Linked DNA regions of Canis lupus familiaris. The protein of the gene in region 2 interacts with the protein of the main gene of each other region in a pairwise test. Links are inferred from orthologs where the notes say so. Each region holds a gene or a part of one and is shown on either strand. Other genes may lie near its edges.

Region 1 (8,007 bases), on a different chromosome or scaffold from region 2:
TATGTTAGTCAGTTTGTATGGTTTTTATTTAATTTTGCACTCATTAATTTATTTACTGCTCTTAATAGGAGCTTATTGTGATGTAGGAATGAGTCAGGGACAGATGGCACCTGGCAGGGAAAGATAACGGAATGGCCCAAAGTCAGGCTCCCATAGATCTGTAGGCTCCCATAAACCCCAAGGACACCAAAAGACCCAGAGTCAGGCTCCTACCCATCCCAAGGAAACAGAGATAAGTAAAAAAGTAAAAAAAAAAAAACAAAAAACAAAAAACAAAACAAAACAAACAAAAAAACCCCCCACACACACAGAGAGAAAGAGGGACGCCTGGGTGGCTCAGCAGTTGAGCATCTGCCTTTGGCTCAGGGAGTGATCCTGGAGTCCCAGGATGGAGTCCCACATGGGGCTTCCTGCATGGAGCATGCTTCTCCCTTTGCCTCTGCCTCTCTCTCTGTGCCTCTCATGAAGAAAGAAAGAAAGAAAGAAAGAAAGAAAGAAAGAAAGAAAGAAAGAAAGAAAGAAAGAAAGAAAGAAAGAAAGAAACCCAGCTCCCTAGCTCTAAAATGTTAGGGAGTATCCCCCTTTAGTGGCTACTAAGTAATCACAGAAACTCACCAAACCACAAAGAATATGTCATTAAGGTATTATCAATAGTCCCCTCTCACACCAAGACTGTACAAGAATCCCCAGGCCGTGGGCTCCCTGGCTAGGTTCTCAATAACAGATTGCCACTAAAAGCCCTCACTGGCAACCCTGTTGGGAGCCCTTTCACCTCTGAGAGCTTCCTCTGTATCTTTGCTTAATAAACTTCTATCGCTTTACTCACTCTCCGTTGTCTGCGCGATTCATTCTTCGACTCTGTGAGACAAGAACCTAGCTCTCACGTATCAATTGGTTTATTCATGTTTTTAAGATTTATTTATTTATTTGAGAGAAAGTGTGTGTATGAGCAGGGGGAGGGGCAAAGGGAGAGGGAGAGAAAATCTTAAGCAGACTCCCTGCTGAATGTGGGGCCTGATGGGGGGGCTTAATCCCAGGACCCTGAGATCATGACTTGATCTGAAATCAAGAGTTGGGTGCTTAACCAGCTGAGCCACCCAGGTGCCCTTTGGTTTATTCTCTTGATTTTCTCAGACATATAATCACAACCTTTAGAAATAATGATAATTTTACATCCACTTTATGTTTTTTATACATGCGATTTATTTGTTATTTCTGGTTTTAGTGTATATTTCCTCAAAACATTTAAAATAGTGTTAACATTTTAAACCTCCAGATCTCCATTAAACCTCCGAAATGCTTATCAAAATCTTTTGATTAACAGAACACCTTCCCTGAGGAGCCTTTCAGCTCTAGCTCTTCACAGCAGTTCCTGAGAAAAAAGATGGGATGAAGCATTCAAGTAACCAAAGGAAGTCCATCAAGGCGGGAGCAGAGGGGAGAAGAAAGAGGCTGGAATGAAGTGGTGAGAAAACAGTACAAAGTGACCATATCACCTGGGTCATCCAAAGCAGCCATGGTGGGGAGGAAAAGCTAAATAAATTGTGATGATCACAGACCCACTCAGAAAGGGTGATTTAATTTCAAGATCATGCTTCCCCCTCCCACTCCTACCACCACATTGACAGGGCCTCGGTATAAAAACAGTGAATTAAAGCCAAAAGAACAGCACTGCACAAACTCTATTTAAGAAGGGCTTCTTAGGGAAACCCACAGACAACAGAGAAACGAGACAACAGGAGCACTGAAGGAAACTATGGGAGCCTGACTTTGGGCCATTCCGTTATCTTTCCCTGCCAGGTGCCATCTGTCCCTGACTCATTCCTACATCACAATAAGCTCCTATTAAGAGCAGTAAATAAATTAATGAGTGCAAAATTAAATAAAAACCATACAAACTGACTAACATAAAAACAATAGCACCTACATCCATGGGAAACATGAACACAGCCCGACTCCTAGACAGATGGACATGAAACATCACACTACAGCCCTAGTTACCTCAGTTCCTAAACTCTGATAGATCACGTTCAGCTTGGCATGTCAACACAAGCTGTGCTAAGAGGCAAGAAGCACAGTCTGGAGGGGCACCTGGGTAGCTCAGTGGTTGAGTGTCTGCCTTCATCCCAGGTCGAGATCCCAGAGTCTTGGGATTGAGTCCTGCATGGGGCTCCCTGCAGGGAGCCTGCTTCTCCCTCTGCCTAGGTCTCTGCCTCTCTCTCTGTGTCTCTCATGAATAAAAAAATAATATCTTTTTAAAAAAAGCACAATCTGGAGACACAGAGCAAACTAGACTCAGCTATAAGTCAGATATTAGAATTGTCAGACGTGTGTGTACACACATATATAAAAAGATTTATTATAAAGAATTGGCTACAAGGTTTACTCTACAGGATGGGCTCAACTGTGGTTCAGCTGACAAGTCCCAAGGCCCCATAGTCCCAGAAAGAAAATGTGTAAAGGGAGTTGGAATTGAGGAGGGAGGAGGAGATGCCAGGCACCTGCCACTATGGTAAAGGCATGGGGTCTCTGTAGCAAGCAGGCAACTCGCAAAGAAGGGACATCTGTAAAAAATCATTCCCCTTGCACAGCATTTTCTAGAGAATCTGCTGCTTCTTTCTAAGCCTCTGAGATCTCAGTGTCCTAGTGCAGGATCAAAATCATAACAACACGGGTGTTCATGTTTTTCCTGTTTCTACTACCAAAGCCGCAGACAAAATGCAAACGGTGGCGAGTGTCTTCTGACGGAGGAGGGGCTGCCCTGGGTGTTCCTGTTCACTTCCTGACAGCTGCTCTCTCAAGGGCACTTCTCGGAGCTGAGCTTTCTGATCCCATTTTGCTGGAAAAAAAAAAACCAAACAAGCCATGTCCTTTATCTATTCCTACACCGTGGACACTTTCCTCCACCTCCTTCAGTCAAGGTCCTCAAAAGTCCACGATGCGTCGGCCCCAAAAGGAGAAACAAAGAATTCACAAGAGCATGTGGCCTCAGGAGACAGAGAACATCGCCATTCCTCCTGCCCAGCAGCTGACAGCGTGGTAAGTCCAAGTGTGTGGGGAAGTGTGTCTGTGTGTGTTGTTTGTGTGTGTGTGTCATGTACCTATGTTCCCGTGTGTGTTGTGTTTTTGTGTTTGTGTGAATATGTGTTGTGTTTGGGAGTGTATGGGTGGAGTGTGTGTAAAGGGTTTGTGTATATGGGTGTGTTTATGTATATCATGTGTTTGTGTGGATGTGTGTGTTGTGTATTTATGTTTCCATGTGTGTTATGTTTGTGTGTACGAATGTATGTGTGTTCATTATGTTTGTGCATATATTTGTGTGTTTATGTATTTGTATGTGTATGTGGTGTGTTTTGAGTGTATGTGTGTAAGTGGTATGTGTGACATGTTTGTGTGTATGTGTGTATGTTTGTGAGTGTTGGTGTTGGTGAGTCTATGGGTGTGTGTTGTGTTTGTGAGCCTGTGGGTGTGTTTGTGAGTGTATGTATGTTTGTGAGTGTGGGTGTTTGTGAGTCTGTGGGTGTATATGTTAGTGAGTGTGGGTGTTTGTGAGTCTGTGGGTATGTGTATATTTATGAGTGTGGGTGTTTGTGTGTGTGAGTCTATGGGTGTGTGTATGTTTGTGAGTGTGGGTGTTTATGAGTCTGTGAGTGTGTGTATGCTTATAAGTGTGGCTGTTAGTGAGTGTGGGTATTTGTGAGTCTGTGGGTATGTGTATGTTTGCGAGGGTGGGTGTTAATGAGTCTGTGAGTGTGTGTGTGAGTGTGGGTGTTTGTGAGTGTGTGGGTGTGTGTATGTTTGTGAGTATCTTTGTGGCTGTGTGGCTGTGGGTGTGTATGTTAGTGAGTGTGGGTATTTGTGACTGTGGGTATGTGTATGTTAGTGAGTGTGGGTGCTGGTGAGTCTGTGGGTGTATGTACGTTGGTGAATTGGTGGGTGTGTGTATGTTAGTGAGTGTGAGTGTTTGTGACTATGGGTGTTTGTGAGTCTATGGGTGTGTGTATGTTAGTGAGTGTGGGTGTTTGTGACTATGGGTGTTTGTGAGTCTGTGGGTGTGGGTATGTTTGTGAGTGTGGATGTTTGTGACTATGGGTGTTTGTGAGTCTATGGGTGTGTGTATGTTAGTGAATGTGGGTGTTGGTGAGTCTGTGGATGTTGGGGAGTCTGTGGGGTGTGTGTTAGTGAGGGTGGGTGTGGGGGAGTCTGTGCGTGTTGGTGAGTCTGTGTGTGTGTGTTAGTGAGTGTGGGTGTTGGGGAGTCTGTGGATATTGGGGAGTCTGTGGGGGGGTGTGTTAGTGAGTGTGGGTGTTGGGGAGCCTTTGGGAATGTGCTGTGCGTGTAGCGCATGCACGCGCGTCTACAGTGGAATAGAAAGAGCCGTGACTAGGAGGTCAGGAGAACCCTTGCCCTACGTGCCCTGCCGCGAAGTCACTGCTCAATTCTGGGCAAGACGCTTCTGCGAGCTGACCTTCCTGGGAAACATGAGATGACAGGCTGCTCGTGCTCATGCTGGAGGCAAAAACTGCCAAGTGTGGCAAACATGTGAGGTGCTGCTCAGGGCCGGCCGTGGGGCGAGGCGGCGCGGGGCGGGGTGCGCACTCCCTCGGGGTGCCCGGCTGCAGTGCCCGGTTCAGATTCTCTGCCCAGGTGCCTCCCCCGCCTTGCCCACCAGCCCTGCTCATACCTTCCAGGAAGCCTCGCTAGAGGAGCCACCAGATTTCCCTGGTGAAGCGCTGCCTCAGTTTCCACCGAGGGTGTAAGGGAGCCAGGGGCAAAGAGGGTGGGGGTCTCCAGGTGCAGAGATAGGAGCGCTAACCTCCTTGTTCCAGAAGCCCCTGGGAGAGGATCAATGCTGTGTCCTCACCAGAATGTTGCTGACCGGTCTGGGGGGAAGCTGTTCACCTGGGCCGGTCACTTTCTTGTCCTGGAAACTCCCAAGACTCACTGGCGGTGTCCACTCTGAGCCTGGGGCCTTGGAGCTGGCAGGGCTGCACACGGCTGACGGTCACGAGGAACGGCCTCAGCGGCCTCCCACCGGCCAGCTGCTGGGACCCGGGCAGCACCGAAGTCATCGCCAGGCCCACAGACCAGGCCCAGTAGCCTTTCGGGGCTGTCCTCATCCTAAATGACGGTGATGGGAGATGAGCTCTGAGGTCCCCTGGCTCCCAGCCAGACTCTGTCCCTGTTGTTCTCACACAGAACCCGGCCACCCACCTCTTGCCCTCTGCAACCCTCACCGCTGAGCCTTTCCCAAAGGTCAGGCATGGATCCCTCTTCTTGGTCCAAGACCCGCGTGTCCCCCCACCCCCACCCCCAGCCCAGCCAGCCTGTGGCTGCAACTTCCTGCCAGCGCCCTCCAGATCTTTCCACTGCTCTCAGGACCCAGTATCAGACCTGCCTCTGCTCTCTGCTCCTCCCTCTCCTCGCAAAGCATGTTGTTCCAGGTCCCTGTCTATAAAACGCCACCTGCTCCTCAGCCTGCCGCTGAGGCCATCCCCCTTTTTCTGTGAAGTCTCCTAAACAGACAGTAGAAACCACAGTGGTGGGGGGGCGGGGAGAGAGGAGGGGAAAGGAAGACAGAAAGGAAGTGGGAAATACCAGAAAGGGAGACAGAACGTAAAGACTGCTAACTCTGGGAAACGAACTAGGGGTGGTGGAAGGGGAGGAGGGCGGGGGGTGGGAGTGAATGGGTGACGGCACTGGGGGCTATTCTGTATGTTAGTAAATTGAACACCAATAAAAAATAAATTAAAAAAAAAAAAAGAAAGGAAGTAGAGACCCCTCGGGCCCCCTCCTCTTTCAGGCTGCTCCCCCTCAAACCAATGCTTCTGGCAAGAGAAAGGCAACGCCTCTCCGAACTCTGCTGAGAAACTAACAAGACGCATTATGGTTATCTCTAGCCGGAGGAAGAAGAATGCGAACATATTCTGGAGGAGGACCCTGCAGGAGAGCTGAATCTCGATCCTAGACCAGGCATTTTAGGAGGTAAACCACTTTCTAACAGGAATGAACTTGAGAGAGGTGCGGATGGCGGCATTCAATGTGTACGTGGGTGTGTAGGGACCGGCGGCAGGGCTCATCCTGGTCAGAGATTTGCCCACCTGGGCCGCCATCAAAGGGTCTTTGGGTGGGGGCCCTCCTCTACTCAGCCAAGTAAGAGGGAAAGGTCCCTGACAGGCAGACGAAGGGAGAGAGAGTGCCAGCCACCACCTTGACTAAATCTCTGTGCCAGGCCCAAGGGAAAGGGCCTGTGCCTTCTGGGATTTCGTCCTCAGGAAGGAGGTGCTGATGGTCAGTGTGACCAAATGACTTGCCCAGACCTCGTACAGGTGTCTGGATCCGATGGGAGAGCTCCTGGGGTCCTATGGGCTGCAGAGCACCACCGGCACAAGCAGGATATCCTAGGCCTGCACTTGGCCTTCTCAAGGGCTTCTGTCCCCCCAAAAGTTATGGCATCAGGGTCAGGAGCTGAGCTTCTGAGGGCTCAGTGTGGCCACTAACCTGGGGACACAGAATCTGGGACTGCTGGAAAATGAATGGATTTCATGGCAGCACTGTTCACAATGGTAAAAGGTGAAAACAACCCAAATGTTCATATATGTGTAGGAATAATCAAGAAGCGCCATATACCTACAATGGAGTATTATTCAGTCTTAAAAAGGTGGGAAATTCTGTGCTGGGCTGCAACATCCATGCCCTGGGAACCACTGTGCTAACTGAAATAAGGCCGACACAGAAAAACGAATGTAATTACAATTTGGAAAATGAAATAAAATAATTACAATTTGGGATGATGAAAACATTCTTGAGAGGCACCATGGAGATGATTGCACAACAGCGTGAATGTCCTGGGCGCCACTGAACTGCGCGCCTAAAACTGAGGACAGTGATAAGTTTGATGTTATACTATACTTTTTTATGCTATATAAATACCATGATAATAATAATAAGCGGAACAAAAGCAAGGCAGAAGGGGAGCCCCGCAGGTCACAGTCCAGGGCGAGACGCAGGTCTCCGCGCTGCCCGTGGACCCCAGGGCACGGCTCTCACCCCCGCTCCCTCTGCTTTGTCCCCCTGCTTCCAGGCCTGTGGGAGGCCCCACGGACCCCGCAGAAACTGCGACTGCTCCTGGTGGGGAAAAGCGGCAGCGGGAAGAGCGCTACAGGGAACAGCATCCTGGGCAGGAGAGAGTTCCCGTCCCGACTCAGCCCTCAACCGGTGACCCGGGACCTCCAGCGGGGCAGCGGCGCCTGGGCCGGGCGGGAGCTCGAGGTGATCGACACGCCCGACCTCCTGTCCCCGCAGGCCGGGCCCGAGGCGGCGGCGCGGGCCATCTGCGAGGCGGTGGCCTTCTCGGCGCCCGGGCCGCACGCGGTGCTGCTGGTGACGCAGCTGGGCCGCTTCACGGAGGAGGACCGGCAGGCGGTGCGGGGCCTGCAGGAGGCCTTCGGGGTGGGCGTCCTGGCGCACACGGTGCTGGTGTTCACGCGCAGGGAGGACCTGGGCGGCGGCTCCCTGGAGGAGTACGTGCGCCGCACGGACAACCCGCACCTGGCCCGGCTGGACGCGGTGTGCGCGCGGCGCCACTGCGCCTTCGACAACGCGGCGGCGGGCGCCGAGCGGGAGGCGCAGCTGCGGGAGCTCCTGGCGGCGGTGGACTGCGTCCTGTGGGAGAACGACGGCCGCCCCTACAGCAACCCGGCCTACCGCTACTCCCAGCAGCGCGGCCTGCCCGCGGGCCCGGGCCCCGAGGGCGCAACCGGCCGGGCCCCGCTGCCGGAGGGACTGTGCCGGCTCCAGAAGGAATCCCAGGAGGCGCACAGACGCCTGCTGGAGAGGGCGCCCGTTTAAGCGGAGGCGGGACCGCAGCCCCCGGGGCCGGCTGCCTGCCCGTCGCTTGCGCTCTCTCCCCGGGGCGGGGGGGCGGGGGGGGCGCTCCCTGACCATCCGAGGCTCCTGGGGAGGTGTCCGAGGCGGTCAGGGGCAGGTGCGTCCCAGAGGTCCCCG
Region 2 (8,112 bases):
AGATTCTTACCAGGCTGGAAAGGCAAATGGGACTGGGAGAGAAAAGGAAGCAGCCTCTGCTGCCCTGAGAATTACTTTTGATTTCCAATTCTATTTATATCTCAGGGATAATGGAGGGAGGGGGCAGTTGCTAATCTGCAGCCATTTTAATTGCTAGATTAACATGAGGCCATCAGAGTAACAGTGTCTCCAGAAGCCTGCACATCTCCTTTAAGAAACATCAAAAGTGGGATGCCTAGGTGGCTCAGTGGTTGAGCGTCTGCCTTCGGCTGAGGCCATGATCCCAGAGTTCCGGGATGGAGTCCCACATCGGGCTCCCTGCGAGGAGCCTGCTCCTCCCTCTGCCTATGTCTCCGCCTTCTCTGTGTCTCTCATAAATAAATCAATAAAATCTTAAAAAAAAAAAAAAAAAAGGAAAAGGAAAAGAAAAATCAGAAGAATTGATCAAATAAATTCAAAGCCACAGGTCTTAGACACCTGCTTCCTTCCCTAAGAAGCCACTGCCAGGAAGGAGGAAACACAGAGTTACCCAGACTCTGCAGAAGCTGCAGGAGATGGAGTTAGCAGGAGACCCTGTGGCAGTTCTGTGTGTGCTGCTGTCAAGTGATCAGCAGTGTGATGACTGAAGATTCACCTCTCCACCACCTTAAGAGAAGCTGAGTTACGACTACAGATGCCCAGGGCTTCCTAACCTGATGAACCCAGCACCATGCTGCCTGGAGGTCGGGGAAGGAAGGCTGGAAGAGCCCCACCAGGTGTCAAGACCGCCTCTGCCAACACCACAGCTTCCTGAACAACAGCTATAGGAGACCAACAGCACCTAGCAGGCAGGCCAGGCGGATCTCCTCAGGCTGGACACTGACCTTACTGAAGAACCTTTCATTTTTCCCCAACCTCTCTGCCAAACACAGGAAATGGAGGTGGTGGAGATTAGGAAAGTAAATCAGATAAAAAAATAGCCAGAGCTATCTGTCATAGGAAAGGGACTAGATTTTGGCTTAGGTCTTTTCTGGAGCTTTCAAGGATTTTCAAAGGGAACATATTTTGGCCAAACTGGGATAGTTCCAGGGATTCTGAAAGCCTAAGCTTGCAGAAGTACTACCTTTAGGGGAGTAACCAATGAGACTTACTTGGAGTCTCCAAGATGAGATGTAGCCAGGAACTCACACTCGGGGGAGAGGGACTAGCATCTGGCTCAAGGGCTAATACTCAACCAGTAATGGCAAAGGACTGACCAGGAATTTTGAAGGAGCCAGTCCATTTTCTTTTTTCCACCAGGGACTAAAGCTGGGCTGTCAACTACACAGAAGAAGAGAATTATAATGCCCCAGAAGACTCGGGCCCCAAGTTATGCCAAAGAATGCTTCTAGGCAGCACAACAGCTAGAGCAAGGGGGGCGGTTACTCTGACAGTCGGAGCAGGTGCTACGAGGGGGGGTGTAAGTCTGTAAAGAGACCTCAGAGCCTTTTGCTGGACAGCAGCCATTCCAGCATACCTGAGGATCAGACAGCTACACACTCGCAGTGGCACAGAACTAAGTTTGGAGAGCAAGCAGGAGGATGATTAACTGAAGCTGAGCCTCAGCAGGGCCCACAAGCCCCTAGTGGAGAACGACAGGACTTATTTCATGGGTCATTTAAAGAAAACCTAATTTTAGGCTCATTTAGGTTCTAGTGATGGCTTAAGCCTAAGTAAATCCTGAACTGTTTTAAAGTATTCATCAGGGTCTGAGGCTAGATTTTTTTTTTTTTTTAAGTCCAACCTTGTTCTATTTTCTTAACCCAAAGTATATTCCCAGATACTGTAGCCCTTTCTTATTTTCCTTGAGCTCCTCATGTCAGGGAGCACAACATCCAGATTTCCAGTCAGGACCTCTAAGAGTTTTCTCACCTCCAAAGTTTAGAGTTCTGTAAGCAGCCAAGCAGGTGGCCAATGCTAGTAAACACTTCTCACCTGGACTGTGGGACTGTCTTATCCACAAACAGGAAGATTGCCTTTTCAGAAGGAAGCTGGATCCTTTTCCTGATGATCCACATGAACTGAGCCACAGTGATGTCAGATGGAACCAAATACTTCCGTTTGTCAATGTCGACAATCTGAGAGCCTGAGACTTTTTCCACAATCACCTGGGAAAGCAAAGAGAGATCAGGACTGGGTTTCTAAAGTGAGGCTCTGGCCTTGCATTGCCAGGGAGCTGATGAATACTATGTGGGCAAGGAGGTGGGTGGGAAACTGCACAACACTGGAAAATATGCCCCTGATTTAATAAACCACAAACTCTTAACTCTGGAGGTTAAGAACTGACATAAATGTATGATATGGAAACAGAAAGTGCTTTTCTGTGGTCAATTATGTTTATCATCCTGCATCTCAGCGAGCATAAGAGAAACACACGCCCTTACTACAAAGCTCTTCGACATTTTGTCTGGGCAGACCTGAGATACCTGGTTTCATCTACAGCCAGTTACTCCAAGACTCCAGAATGAATCTGCCTTCACACTACAGAGGAAGTAAGATCCCAAGGAACAAAGGGGAGAGGAATGGATGGACTAATGGGAATGAGTAAACCAAGCTCCTCATTTGGCCTGTTGCTTCTCCCTGAACTAGGTTTCAAATGTGTCCCTCCTAACCCCTCCTCAGAGTTTTGCTTGTTCAAACAAAGAGCTACAATAACAGACACGGATGTCCTCTAAAAATCAGTAAGAATTATAGAAACTTTACCCCTACCACGGAAGAAACAGGATCTTTATTACTGATTAAGGAGGAACCACGAAAGAAGGGAGTTCTCAGAGGCTTCTCAGATTTTTTTTGGTCAGCAAAGGATGACAGGGTCAGAGTGAGGAAAGGGAGCTAGAAATCAAGTAAAGACAGAGGCTCAAAGTTAAAGATGAGTGTCCTGAGACTAAAGTACCACTTCTAAGACCAAAGTGACAGTCTCCCTCCACCAGTGTTCCCAAAAGTGGCAGTGACCTGTTGCCCTGTCCTAGAACATCGTTCCTTACATAATTGGCGAGGGAGCCCAGAGGCTGCAGACAGCTCGCTGGCCTAGATCGGGAGATTCAGCACTGAGGCACCCTGAACAGCACCTGCTCAAGCCCCTCACGCCACGGCCCCCAAGGCCCCGAGCCCCGTCTGGCTTGTCTGCTCCTATAACTGGGACTGGAACCTCAACTTATCAACTGCTGAGTGGCCCGGGGCCCTATCGCGAGTCCTAGACGACGGGGTGACGACGAGGTGAGGGGGCGGGGAGTGCACTCACCGGAACGCGGTCGGGGTATTTCGCTCGGATCTTCGCGGATTCCACGCATCTGTGTTCTGTGGGAAACAGACGGGGCTGCCGGTCGCGCCTGCTCGTCCGCCGCTTCCCGCGCCCCCGACCCACCTCCCCCAGCGACCTGCGCACGCCCGGGTCCTTGTTACGGCGTCTCGGCGGCCTCGGTCCTCGGCCCCCGCCTCCCGGCAGGAGGGCAGAAGGCGGCACAGCGTCCGTGGGCAGCCGGCGGGGGCGCCGGGGCCTCCGCGACCCGAGGCCACAGCTCGGCATCCGCCCCGCCCGGCCCAGCCCAGGGCGGCCCGAGTGGGGGAGGGGGCCCACCCGCCGCCGCGACCCCCACCACCCGGCCTCTGACGGAGCCTTACCCAGCGAGTGGTCCTCCTTGAACATCCACTTCATGGCGACGGCGGGGAAGGGATGCAGCCGGCTCTCGGAGCCGCGGAGCTCAGCGAACCAACCACAACAACAACGACGGCAGCAGCGGCGGCGGCGACTACACGGCAGGCGGGACTTCCGGCTGCCGGAGCCTAGCAACCGGCCGGGGGCGGGGCTTCCGGCGCAGTTCGCCGGGACGCCGCGCCAGGGGGCGTGGCCACATTCAAAGGGGCGGGGCGAGCGGCGAGGCGGGGCGGGGCGAGGCGAGGCTACGAGGAAGTGGGGCTGATGACGTTGGCCACCCGGCAGTCCTGGAGGGGTTTCGGTGACGGGGAAGGGGATGCTGTCGGGAACTGCTAACAGGAACCGGGTCTCGGCGGACGTTGGTAACGGGAAGAGGAGTTTGGGGGTCTGGCTGATAGGATAGGGCGCTCAGAGGGCTTTTCATGAGGGAAGTCTCGGTGTCGGGAATTTTGGAGCATGAGTGACAGACGAGGGGTCTCTGATGGTCGATAATGGCGGGGTGGGGGAGATCTGTTTAGCGCATTGACAGTTTGGGGAGTATTGTTTGGAGTGGTAACAGGTTGGAGGGTGTGGCTAATTTGAGGGGCCTGTGTGGGGAGAGGTTCTGATGACAAGCCGGGGGTTCAGTATTGGAGACAGCCAAAACAGGTGGCCTTGGACCTAGAAATGGAATTTAAACAAAACCCTATTTCCTTCCTTTTTTCATGAATAAATAAACGTTTGACTAAACATGTAAGCACATGTATCACAAATAGACATTTGAGGAGCATAACATCTCACTGATCACAAAGAGACCCCTTAACCTTAACTACAGAGGACTTAGAGGTGACTGTCTGGCTGAGAGAATTCCCCTGAGAGTCATGAGACAAATTTCTTTGGCAGTCAGCATGGAGTTCAGCAATCACAGTCTAGGCTGTGCGTACGTGTGTCACCTGCCTGAGCATATGCCTTGAGTTCTCCAGTGATGTCACCTCTTTCTTCCTAGCAGAGTCATCAGGACAGTCTGCTCTGGGTCAACATCTGTTTACTAGCTGGTGAATATGTAACAAGAATATTCATTTAATTGGGCACATGATCCTTGTCATGTGCTTATGATTCTGATGCATCTGAAAGGATTGCATGTGTGAATATTGTCGTTCACCATTTCCCATAGTTGTAATTCCTGATGGATGCTGTGGAATCTAGCTTCATTCTAGAAGCATTTTGGTTATTTTAAGATTGTCTGAGCAACCAAAATAGGCTTTTGTTTGCTTGCTTGTTTTTAATGAAGTGAAAAGCCCTTTGAATTTCATACCTAGAAATTATTACTGCTGCATACAGGAGCACTGTTCTAGGTGTTGAGGAAAAGCAGTGAACAGAACATTCAGCTGTCAAGGAGTTTCTAGTGGGATAAGACAACAAATGTCAGGTAATGGTAGGCGCTGTTTAGAAAATAAAGCAGGGTTGGTGACGAGTGACAGTGGGGTAATGCTAATCAGGTAAAGTGGTTGGCATAATCAGGGACAGGAAGGAACCCCTTGTGGCTGGAGCTGAATTAGCAAGGGGGGGTATGTTAGAAGATGAGATCAAAGATATGTGTAACAAAGCTGTTGAGTTTTTTTTTTTTTTAAGATTATTTATTTATTCATGAGAGACAGAGAGAGAGAGAGGCAGAAACACAGGCAGAGGGAGTCGCAGGCTCCACACAGGGAGCCCGACGTGGGACTCGATCCCAGGTCTCCAGGATCAGGCCCTGGGCTGAAGGCAGTATTAAACCGCTGAGCCACCCGGGCTGCCCAGCTGTTGAGTTTTGAATTTCATGTGAAGAACTTTGGATGTTATTTAGAATGAAATGAGAAGTAGAGGATTTTAAGCAGAGGTGTGACATGGTATGGCTTTCCTTTTGAACTGAGCAGGCTAGCTTTTTTGTAGACAGACTCTAAGGGTTTGAGAATGGAAGTCAGGAAAACAATTAGGAAGCTATTGTGATAATCCAAGTGGAAGATGATGTTGGCCTAGACCAAGATAATGTCTGTGGGGATGGTGGGAAGCAATTATATTCTAGATATATTTTGAAGGTAGAGCCAACCAACAAAATTTGATGATAGATTGAATATGAAGTGTGAGGGACAAGTCAAAGTCAGAGTTTTTAGAAGGATGGAATTGCCATTTACTGAAATAGAGTGGAGCCAGTTGGGGAGGTGGGGATCAAGGTTTGGTTTTGGCTCTATTGAGTCTGAGATGCCCAAGGGACACATCCAAATGAAGATATATGGAGTAAGTGAATAGATCTATGAGTCTCAAATTCAAGAGAGAAGTATTTAAAGCTATTGAACTGATGAGATCAGCTAGAGAGTGAATGAAAAAACTGAAAATACCTATTTTGCAAATAGAATTAAACACTGAGGAATCAAAGTGGAAAGATCCCATAAGTCACCCCTTACAGGAGTGTAACCTGATGGTCTTCGTAAGGTGCAGTGTTTTTCTGTCTTCTATCTTTACTTACTTCTTTGATGTCTTTTTCCAGTTCACCATTCTAATTGGATTCTCTGATCTGCCCTGATGATATGCATCACCTTCTTTACCTATGGGGTCATTATACTAGCTTATTGAATGTTCTAAAGATACCGAATGCCTTCCTTGAGGGGGTGGCTAGTTGAAAAGATGACTCAGAAGAAAAAATAGGATAATTAAAGTATGCAGTTATATATTAACAGACTTATAAAATATGCAGAATAAATTTCAGATGTTGGAGAGGTCCTGCACTTGAATGCTGAAGGATGGTTAGGGCAATGGGGGCTGACACCAAACCAAGCGAGGCTTATCAAAAAAGACTAAACAGAGAATGTGAATCTTATGTGTCAGAGAGAAGTGTACATTTTTCAAAGGACAAACTTCGCTTAATAGACACAAAGACTGGGGTTAGAAGAGGGAACTGGGAAGCAATATAGACAAATGCTGGAAAGCCTTGATGTGAACATTCAGGCGTTCTGAACTGATTCGAGATACCCTGAATGGGAGCTTTTAGAAAGGAGTAGAACGTGATCAAAATGTGTAGTTTTAAGAGAACAACTCTCTTTGTCCTTAAAAGTAAATTCTATGAAGGTGCACCTAAGAGGCTCAGTAGGTATAGTGTCTGACTCTCGGTTCCGGCTCAGGTCATGAGCTCAGCATCCTGGGGTCAGGCTCCGCACTTAGCAGGGGAGTCTGCTTATTTCCCCCTCTCTGCCTCTCCCCGCCACTCACGTGCTCTCCTTCTCTCTAAAATAAATAAATCTTTTTTAAAAAGTAAATTTTATGAAACATGAAAAAATTATGGAAATGGAAACAGAGAAGTCAGTTCTCAGTTATGAATATATGACAATGACACAATATACACAGACCTTTAGCATTTTTAAAAACTAAAATTCCAAAAAAAAATAAAAAATAAAAATAAAAATAAAATTCCCTCTTAAAGAATCAAAATAAGACCACAAAGATTAGCTTCTTCAAATAATGGAAGCAAAGAGTAAGTATTAGTATCCATTATTATTAAATACTTTTGCAAAGCTCATGGCATCTCAGGGGAGGCACTTCACACACCTAAATTCTTAGGAATCACCACCTTGTTCTCAGCAGTGACTAAGCTGACACTAGCCACAGTATGTGTTTCCTTCTACTGAAAGAAGGAACTTTGAAGGCAAATGCCTCTTTCCTTGGTGTAGAGCTGCACTCAGGAGGTAACACTAGAACCATCGATTCCAGAATCTTATTTTAATGGTTATTCTTAAATTTTTAGTTCAGTGTAGTTAACATACAGTGGTGTATTAGTTTCAGGCATACAACATAGTGATCCAACAATTCCATATATTACTCAGGGCTCATCAAGATAAGCGCTCTCTTATATAAGTGTTTGGTGTCAGCCCCCCATTGCCCTTCACCTATTTCACCGATCCTCCCATCTACCTGCCTTCTGGTAACCATCGGTTTGTTCTATATAATAATATAGTCTGTTTTCTGGTTTGTCTCTTTTTTTCCCTTTGTTCATTTGTTTTCTGAAGTCCCACATATGAATTAAATTATATGGTTTTGTTACTTGAATAAATGAAAGTCATTCACTTAAATCATTGATACAGTATAACGTCAGAATCATAATATAGATTTAAGCCTAACAATTGCTATATTTAAGAGCTGTGTTGCCACCCTAGGGAAGCTTTAAAGCAAAGATGAGTAGTACTGAACCAGATCTGTCAAAATCTTATGGCTGGGGCAGCCCTGGTGGCCCAGTGGTTTAGCGCTGCCTTCAGCCCTGGGCATGATCCTGGAGACCCGGGATCGAGTCCCACGTCGGCCTTCCGGCATGGAGCCTGCTTCTCCCTCTGCCTGTGTCTCTGCCTCTGTTTCTCAAATAAATAAATAAAATCTTTAATTAAAAAAAAATCTTATGGCTCATATTGTCGATTGAACCGCGGTGAGGACCC

Evidence for each region.
Region 1: the proteins of GABARAPL2 (region 2) and GIMAP6 interact in a two-hybrid assay, tested with the Homo sapiens proteins (2 studies listed by BioGRID). The two-hybrid records come from large-scale screens. The link is inferred for Canis lupus familiaris from reciprocal best matches to the Homo sapiens genes GABARAPL2 and GIMAP6.

Annotation. Positions count from the first base shown.
Region 1 is NC_049237.1:15,573,303-15,581,309, reverse strand, and holds the start of GIMAP6 (GTPase IMAP family member 6), read left to right. Parts: upstream 1-2,654; 5' UTR 2,655-2,865; coding exon 2,866-3,039; intron 3,040-4,816; exon of another isoform or gene 4,817-5,231; intron 5,232-5,237; exon of another isoform or gene 5,238-5,338; intron 5,339-5,394; exon of another isoform or gene 5,395-5,543; intron 5,544-5,900; coding exon 5,901-5,985; intron 5,986-7,084; coding exon 7,085-7,851; 3' UTR 7,852-8,007.
Region 2 is NC_049226.1:75,813,583-75,821,694, forward strand, and holds the start of GABARAPL2 (gamma-aminobutyric acid receptor-associated protein-like 2), read right to left. Parts: upstream 4,289-8,112; 5' UTR 3,674-4,288; coding exon 3,640-3,673; intron 3,316-3,639; coding exon 3,260-3,315; intron 2,127-3,259; coding exon 1,954-2,126; intron 1-1,953. UniProt on the Homo sapiens protein: Ubiquitin-like modifier involved in intra-Golgi traffic. Modulates intra-Golgi transport through coupling between NSF activity and SNAREs activation. It first stimulates the ATPase activity of NSF which in turn stimulates the association with GOSR1.